Linked DNA regions of Arabidopsis thaliana. The protein of the gene in region 1 interacts with the protein of each later gene in a pairwise test. Each region holds a gene or a part of one and is shown on either strand. Other genes may lie near its edges. The genes, in order: AT1G75710 and AT1G76590.

Region 1 (5,007 bases):
CCGGCCACGTTGTCAGTAGAGACTCTTTTAACATGCAGTAGGATTAAATTTTCTGTCAGTCGAATAAATTCCATTGTCACCGGACTAACAATAGTATTTTAAATGTTACGTACGTAAACAATTACTACTTTACTTTTCGTTTTTTGAAATTCAAACTTGTTTATGAATCAAACATATTCTCAAGATCTCGCGCTTCGTTTCTTCTTTTGTCTCAATGAACATAACATATTTAACAAAATTTTAAACGAAATGACTTTATAACAATCTCTGGTGATTTTTATAACCAAAGTTTAAAACAAAAGAGAAGGACAAATGTGGAACACGACAAGTGAGAAGGCCAAAGCGACTGCGTGATAAATCCAAGTATTGCGGCGAATGTGAAGGTCTTAGAATTTTACATATAGTCAACGATCAACCTTAAAATCGTAGTTTCTTTTGATTGCTACAAATTTTCACCCTAAATATGATTAATTTACTTTTATGTTATTGATGATGAATGATTAATATAATTACTCGAAATTGTGTGTTGTGTTTGAACGCAATTACCACAATCTAAAAATATACAAGCTCACTTGAGTTATCACATTAAAAATGTTCTTCCCATAATGTCGACATTTATTACACATTAAATTATTATTTATTTAGTGCATTAAACTGTTTTTTATGATAATCAGTATATTAATAAATGAATTTACACCCATACTTTTTTACACAAACTTCAAGTGTAACTCCACCTCTATTTACTGTACTGAGATTAGTTTATGACACCCTATCCTAATTACTTTGAAAAAAATAGTCTATCAATATGAAGTAATACATTGCATAAATCTGAAATACTTACATACAAACTGAGACCAAAAACTATTGAAGTAAAAATGATATAAATGTACCAAACTATTTAGGAAACAAGGAATTAAGAGCATTGAAATTTTCAAATCGAGACAAATAGAACATTTGGAATCCGTAATCACAGTTCCAAATACGAAGTTTCCAAAGACCTTGTCTGGTGTTTAACGTGTAATCTTGTTCTGTTAAAAAAATACTTTTGACCATACATATCAACAACATCATTTTTAGAATTATTATTATTATTATATTTTTGATGTACTAATTAATTCCATTTCTTTTCTTGTTGTCTTGCTTGCATTCATGGAATCTCCAAACTTTGATTTTTAAAACTAATTATTTCTGTCATCAAACTTGTTTTAATGGTGAACTTATACATTTTTATTATGTAGTAACGACTATTAATAAAGAGATTCCATTCAAAGTTTTGAGTATAATAACCAAACAAATCAATACTACCAATATAAACATCAGTGACGTTGACTAATTCCGCCTTTAAGAAGGTCAAACTGTAATGGAAGATTATAGATGAAGCAGTTAAAGCACATACAAAGCCAACCAAGCTCGTCCAAAAAAATTAACTTCAAGATCTTCTAACTAATTTATAATCATCAAAAAAGTAATTTACTATCTATCCAAAATCCATAATTAAATACTGTTTTTTCTTTTGAGGAAAATCCACAACTAACAAAGCAAGCAACCAGATGCCAAAATTAATTAGAAAGATATTTTTCTCTGACAAAACAAGATATCTGAATATAGTTAAATTAGTACCCTATTTTCTATTAAAAGATTATAATTTTAATAAATTCGAACGACAAGAATATTAATCAGAAGGGTAAGAAAGTAAAACTGTAAAATAAAGAATTAAAGAAAGATAGAGCCCACTACTTTAATCTTCTTCCCTCCTTATTACCCATCTTGGATCCATCTTCGATTTCAACACCTAAAAATAAAAGCTTATAATTAAAGAACCATAAAGACGAACACAAAAGAAACTCTCACATTCTCAAGAGTTTCTTTCTTCTTTCAATGGCTTTACTAACTTTCTTGCCGGAGAACGCAGAGGCGCCACAAAAACACAAGCCAACGTCTAGCAAACGAAAGAAACGCGATAATCCCACCGACCAAACGCAGACACAGAAACATAAACCGCAGAAACCGAAGAAAGCAGTACCTCCGAAGCAGCCATCTTCATGGGACCAAATCAAGAACCTATTGACTTGCAAACAAATCGAAGGGTCAAGAGTCCATGATCCTTCCAAGAACTCTCAATCTGGTCCGTCCATGACAACTAACTTATCTCCTTCCAAGCTTGGCTCGTCGTGCAGCTCCATTTGCAGCTTTAGAGACGTGGCTCACGGCAACACTCGTGTGGTTCATAGAGCTGATCACTCACCAGACGTAGGTAACTCGGCTACTCCTAACTCGGAGACTCGGCTTCTGACTCGGAAACCTGGTCAACACGGTTCTTCTTCGTCTCGGTCTCTTACATCTGGCTCAACGAGATCTAACGCCAGTGGGAGTTACACGTCATCGTCAACGACTTCGTTTAGAGCCATGCAGTTCCGTAAACTCTCCGGATGTTACGAATGTCACATGATCGTTGACCCGAGCAGGTAATGACACCAAAAATTAATTATGAGTAAGTAAATGTTCTTCTGAATTATATTTTTGTAATTTCATTTTCATGTTCTTGAATTTTAGGTATCCGATTTCGCCTAGGGTTTGTGCTTGTTCCCAATGTGGAGAAGTTTTCCCCAAGCTTGAAAGCTTAGAGCTTCATCAAGCAGTTCGTCACGCAGGTAAGGCTTTTTTTTTCCTTTTAACAAAAATTGTTTGACTTTATCACTTACCTCAAATTAATTAATTACGCTTTAGCTACAATTTTTTATTTTTTGGTGTGTGGTAGTCACATTTTTAAATTTAACCCTAAGTATCTAGTGAGATTTTCGTAAATGCGAATGGCTTGGCAAAGTAAGATTATGTTTTGTATCCTTGGAAAAAAACTTAAGATCTCAGTCCATGATTTGACTTGTGAATGATGATACAACCTTTGTTTGTTTAGTATTGATTGAATAATTAGCATTAACACATGTTTTCCGGCGTATAGGCCCTTGGATTTATCGATAGATTTACCATAATGCTAAGCAAATAATTAACGAACATGCTTTCATTAATATATATCTTAGACTTCGTTGTTTCTTAATGGAATCAAGATCTCAGTGTTATTGTCGGTGATTATATCGATCAAATAAGTTAGGATGATTTGGCCGTATGTTACAGATTGTTTTTGGAATAGAGATTCATACGTATTTTTAGAGAAAGATACAAAAGAGAATAGGAATATAACTGGAGAACAAGATATATTCTATGGTCTCCAAATCCGTCGTTTTGCTTGGAAACACTTACCATGCGATGGGACCATTGTACTATAAAAAGAAACAGCTGTCTCTGCTCTTAACTAAATTCAATGTCCCCCTGAAATATTACGTGTCATTTTTCAATTCGACAGTATCAGAATTAAAACCCCTCACCTGACAAAAACCGAATTATAGAACTGTCTTTAATGTCCCAAAAACTCAGATTTTTGTTTTGACTTGCATATTTTTCCTGATTTTATGAGCAAAAACGTTGTCGTTTAATTGCAGTTTCGGAGTTAGGTCCGGAGGATTCGGGTCGAAACATAGTGGAGATCATATTCAAATCAAGCTGGCTTAAAAAAGACAGTCCCATCTGTCAGATCGAACGGATATTAAAAGTCCACAACACTCAACGTACGATCCAACGGTTTGAGGATTGCCGAGACGCAGTGAAGGCGCGTGCACTTCAAGCAACCAGAAAAGATGCTCGTTGTGCCGCCGACGGCAACGAGCTCTTACGTTTTCACTGCACCACTCTCACTTGTTCACTCGGAGCTCGTGGCTCTTCTTCTCTCTGCTCTAACCTCCCTGTTTGTGGCGTCTGCACCGTGATTCGCCACGGTTTCCAAGGAAAATCTGGTGGCGGAGGAGCCAACGTCGCAAACGCCGGTGTGAGGACGACGGCGAGCAGCGGAAGAGCTGATGATTTGCTGAGGTGTAGCGATGATGCGAGGAGAGTGATGCTTGTGTGCCGTGTGATCGCTGGGAGAGTTAAGCGAGTTGATTTACCGGCGGCGGATGCTTCGGCTACAGCGGAGAAGAAGTCAACGGTGGAGGATAACTCGGTGGTTGGAGTTTCTTCGAGTGGTGGTACGTTTGACTCGGTGGCGGTCAATGCTGGAGTTTATTCGAATCTTGAGGAGCTTGTGGTTTATAACCCGAGAGCTATATTACCTTGCTTCGTGGTTATTTACAAAGTTTTAGAATCTTGAATTTGTAATTTTAACTTGAGAAATAATGTTTGTTTTTTGTACTTCTAACTTTTTAATATTATAGGGAGAGATTAGGGATAATCATCAACCTGCATCATAATTCCCATCTTATTATTGACTATTAAGTGTAATTCTCAGGAGTCTAAGCTAATATGTTCTTGGTTATCTCTATTATTGAAAATCATGATTAGGTTAAGAATTCAGTAGTCGAGTGGGTTAAAAATCATGATTATGAATTATGATGAACTTAACGTGTTATTTCTCAATTTAGGCTTTTTGACCAGTAAATGTAACATTTTGTTAACTATGGTAAATTTCATAGCTGTGTTCACACTTGGTGGGAATCAAATAGTGTGGGAGTGGCAGAGTGATATAATTGCTATCACATGCGTTTTCAGTAAATTATTTTATTCACCCAAGTTCTTTTCGTTATTTTTTAAGAAATATTTATAGGGAAAGCTGATTTTGTAAAAGTTGGGTATTGTATAGTTTTAATTTAGTAGTTATATAGTGTTGTCAAAAAAAGAAGAAGGAAATAGTAGTTATATGGTATGGTTCAGATAAGTTCAAAATTTACCCATAAATAAAAAAGGCTTGCACGCTGAGAGGGTGCACCATTGGAACTTTCCTCGTTGTCAGAAGCTGCTACATTGTTTATTTTTATAATAACTCGATTTCTCCTTGGAGTTGCAAATGAAATCAGAGATTTAGAATCAAACCAGTTTAATATTCGAGTTTTACAACAAATATGTCTAGCATAGGTTAAAATTCAGAAGTTCTATTAAAAGATGGATATAAAGTTGATG
Region 2 (4,508 bases), 310 kb from region 1:
GCTTGCGGTTGCGACAGTATGTGTTTGCGTCTGCGTGTTTATGCATGCTTTCCCAATGGTCAGACAAGGCTCTCACTTCAGTTGGGGTGGTCTTGATTATGGCTCAATCTAAGGTTTGTTATATAACTAAGTGTTGTTAATTCTTTTGGTTCGATACCAAAAGGGAAAAAAAAAGTGCGATGAAGGAAACTGAGAATGAGAGGCATAGTGAGAAAACCCAAAGACATGTGGATCTTGGACATTGCAGAGATGGAATCACTCACTGGTCTTTGGTGAGCCAGAGAGTACAGAGAAACTGGTTCAGGTCAGAGCAGACATAGCTTCAACACAACACCCAAGTTTTTATATATTTGGCTAATTATGTTTTATTCTTGCATATGTTAATTTCCCATTCTCCCTTAATTACAGTTTTTAGTTGCTTAACACAAAAGCTGTTGCTATTTTACTGAAGCTGTTTTCTCCTGTGTGTTTATTGTATCTCTGTAGAGTTGTGAACGTAGTTGAACATTGTTGTAAAATTGTAATGTAATACCTTTTTGGTTAATCCTACGTAAAAGTAGTATTAGCCACTACTTGCTAAACATTTTAAAGGGACATCTTAAAAAGTGAAGATGATTCTTCACAAATAAACCACAACGGTCACGTGAGTCTCGTGCTATTGACTACTATTGTTGAGGTCGGTCAACAGTGCATTGCCCCATCTTTACCTTCTTCTTCCCACATTTGTTTGGGATATTTTTCAATTTACTCACTTTATGAATACAAACAAAACAATAAAACTAATCTCTTTTGTGTGTAGTTGAAAGAGATAAGATCGCAGAAAAGAAGACGATGATTCGTCGACTTTTCTCCCAACATTTTGAACAATTAGTTGTTATGTGTAATTTTCTATAGATAGCTACTATCTGATTACGTGGATCACACTTCTCTTTTTATTATTATCTCTTTAGGTTTCTTATCCCATATAATATGATATCAGGTCTCTTTCTCGAGTAATACATTATATATCTATGTTGATTATTTACTACTTGTCATTTAAGATAAGATACTTAAAAATACTTGTTATTGGATTTTGCCGGAAGACTTAACTTTCAAACTCTATTATATGTAGAAGATAGCGGACTGAAAAATACGTCGAAGACAGATACTTCTATTGCATAATTTTTGGGTAGGGACTAGAAAACTTACTCGTAGTTTCGACATATCATCCGCAATCTCAAATTAATTGCAAACTTTTTGATCATATCTATTGAAACTATCTTTCTAGCTTCATTAATTCGTTACCAGCCCCCAATATAAGCTATCAAGTATGAATATTAAGATGGATTTAACGGTGATAATAGTAGTATGTACAGTTTCTTTTGTCAACAGCTGATAAAAAAAATGAAAGCTTCTAACAGTTTGAGCCTAAAGAGATCATATATGTGAACAGTTTCACACACACATAAGCCGTACAACTAATATAGATATCACTTTGACCGTAAAAATCTAACAGTTTAGATCACACACACACAATCTTGAAACTAGTTTAAAGCACTTTCAGCGAAAAGTACTCACTAGATGATAAGAACTCTTTGGCACGTAACAGACGCTTTCGAACCCTACGATTTCAAGAGGTGGCTTATGTACGGTCCACTCAACTTCTTCATCCGACGGTCTAAGATTGGTCATGTGGGTTGAACTACCAAAAGGGCCAAAAGCGTGAGCCACGTTACATTATAAAAGATTTTGTCTTTTTAATCCAACGGTTCACACCAGAATCTCCAATTCGGTTCTGTCTCCTCTCGTGTCGGTCCATCTCTCTGGCTCTTCACCTCTAGCCACGTGTTTCTAATTTTGACCTTTTAAAATTTTAAGAAAAAAACAAATTATTTCTTGTAGCTAAAATTTAGCATCCAAATTCCAAACTCAGAGTTCTCTTCTATGGCCGTATGATACTTCCAATAATCCGTATGTATGTGAATATCATAATCTATCACAAACATAATGAATAGTAGTAGATATTAAGACAATCAAATTTGGTAGAAAAAATATCTTCCTACGTTGGGAATTATGTAGGACCGAATAATATAGTCGGCTAATTCGATATTTTGTCGCGAACCACGACATAAAATTATTTATCATCATTTGTGAACAATAATGATTCAAAATTATCAATAACACCACCTTTTTTTTTTAAGTTCCTTTACTTCTGGGGTCTCTAGAGACCCACACATGTGCACAAAATATACGTGTGTCTCTCATAGACTTTAAAGCAAAATTAGAGAACACTTATTTTTAGCCAAAAAAAGTAATTAAAGAAAAAACTATATAAAAACAGTTTAAAAAGGGGATGATATTAAATGATTTTCATGTGAATTATAAAACGTATTGAGTATTATCGTGACCGACTTCAAAAAACAAGAAAAACCTCAACTTCTCTTTTTCAGCTATAGCCGCCGCCTCCTCCCACTAAACTCAAATCCTCTCATAGTCTTTTCAATCAAATCTGCTCTTCTTCACTGTTGAAGCTGGCTATCAAAACTCACAATAACTATGGTGATTGATTGATTCTCTTTCTTACTTAACTCTGTTTTAGTTTCTTTGCAAATTCTTATATTAACCATTTGGAACTGGTCTAAACATTCTTCAGGGACCGATGATGATGAGAGCAGAAGAAGATAACTACAATCTAAATCCTCCACCATGGCTAATCCCAATGCTAAGAGCAAACTACTTCATCCCTTGTTCAATCCACGCCGCTTCCAACAAAAGCGAGTGCAACATGTTCTGTCTTGACTGTTCTTCTGAGGCCTTTTGCTCTTACTGTTTGCTCAATCACAGAAACCATCGTGTCCTCCAGGTTCTTTCATCAACTTCAAATCATTTTTTTCTCTCTTACCAATTCACCCAACAGAGTTAAGAAAATGGGATTTTCATTACTTGCAGATACGGAGATCATCGTACCACAACGTTGTGAGAGTAAACGAGATTCAGAAGTACATAGACATATCTTGTGTTCAGACATATATAATCAACAGCGCAAGGATCGTTTTCTTGAACGAACGTCCTCAGCCAAGAATCGGCAAAGGAGTCACCAATACTTGTGAAATCTGTTGCAGAAGCCTTCTCGATTCTTTCCGTTTCTGCTCTCTCGGTTGCAAAGTAACTCTTCTTTCCTCTGTTTTCCTCTGTTTTGAATGAATATCTGAATTTGCTCTGTATAGTTGAAATGACCATATTGCCCTTTTGTTTGGTTTATTTCAGCTTGGAGGAATGAAGCGTGATCCAAGTCTAACCTTCTCTTTGAGAGGGAAGCATGGAAGAGAGTACGAAGGTGAGTGGGAATCTGATGAAGCGACTACACCAACTAAGATACGCAAGACATGTGCTTTCAACCGTCTGATGAGTGGTCTTTCCATCTCCACCGTTAAATGTGATTACTTGTCAGGAGATCAACCGTCTTCGAGCTCCGGTGATGAGAGCGGTTTTAAACTTTCTCCGGGGACACCGCCGATATATAATCACCGGAATTCAAGTAGACGGAAGGGCGTCCCACACCGTGCTCCTTTCTAAAATTAATACTAACGGAAGCTAATTATATAGTGTAGATTATAGAAAATGTGGTTGTTATGTTGTAACTAAATGGTTAGTAGTTTTTAACCTTTTGAGCTAGGAATATACATATTGTAAGACATATTACTTACAGGTATTGTTTGGTTTTTCTTTTTATAGTACATATAGAAATTAGGTATATACTGTACTCAAAGGGATTGAAATATGTTTTCATATAGTTTTTTTGCTGTAAATATACGTTTGAAGGAGGTATGTTTCTTCAACTTGTTTGTATCGTATACTGTGTACTATCTTCACAATAAAATAGCAAATATGATAACTAGGATTTTTAACTGAAGCGCTAATATTCGAAGAACTAAATTGTCAATGAGAATGATACAGACGAATAACGAGATTTAAAATAAGAAACTGTCGATCAAGACATGTATTAGTATTGTCAGAACACAAAAACATTGGTGATAAGCTGGGGCAAAAAACATTCTGGGTCTATCTATTTCAAGGAAAGGAGCTTCGACTCAAAAGAAGCTTATGTCATTAGAACTTAGAAGTCGATTGTTAACAACAGTTCAAATACTTCGTTTCCCTAAATTGGTTATCAAGTAGTTTCAACTTTAAACTCGTGCTATTAGAATTTTTTTTTTATTTTCGAACGATATAACGTGGTTCTTCGAAACAATACTTCGCTAAATCCTAATAACTTTCGGCATTTGAAATGCTCATGATGTCATGCATCTACCTTTTTTCCGTGGTTGCCTCACCTTTTAATGGTGTTTTGATGTTAAATTTTTTTATGTATAAGTTGTATTTTAGTTTTTTTTTTTTTTTTTGACTGACTTTTGGATCTAACCTATGATTTAAAGATCGGAGAGACCATTCTGATCTTTGTATCTGGCGGGTCTTGGGAGATGGTGGAAAAGAAAAACCTATGATTCGTCAAAGATGGTTGAAAGATG

The links.
Region 2: the proteins of AT1G75710 (region 1) and AT1G76590 interact in a two-hybrid assay, tested with the Arabidopsis thaliana proteins (one large-scale study listed by BioGRID).

Annotation. Positions count from the first base shown.
Region 1 is NC_003070.9:28,426,928-28,431,934, forward strand, and holds AT1G75710 (C2H2-like zinc finger protein), read left to right. Parts: upstream 1-1,743; 5' UTR 1,744-1,878; coding exon 1,879-2,465; intron 2,466-2,553; coding exon 2,554-2,651; intron 2,652-3,497; coding exon 3,498-4,201; 3' UTR 4,202-4,412; downstream 4,413-5,007.
Region 2 is NC_003070.9:28,738,340-28,742,847, forward strand, and holds AT1G76590 (PLATZ transcription factor family protein), read left to right. Parts: upstream 1-2,200; 5' UTR 2,201-2,535; coding exon 2,536-2,538; intron 2,539-2,632; coding exon 2,633-2,842; intron 2,843-2,928; coding exon 2,929-3,144; intron 3,145-3,246; coding exon 3,247-3,555; 3' UTR 3,556-3,892; downstream 3,893-4,508. Other genes in the region: AT1G76580 (Squamosa promoter-binding protein-like (SBP domain) transcription factor family protein), read left to right, coding at 1-112.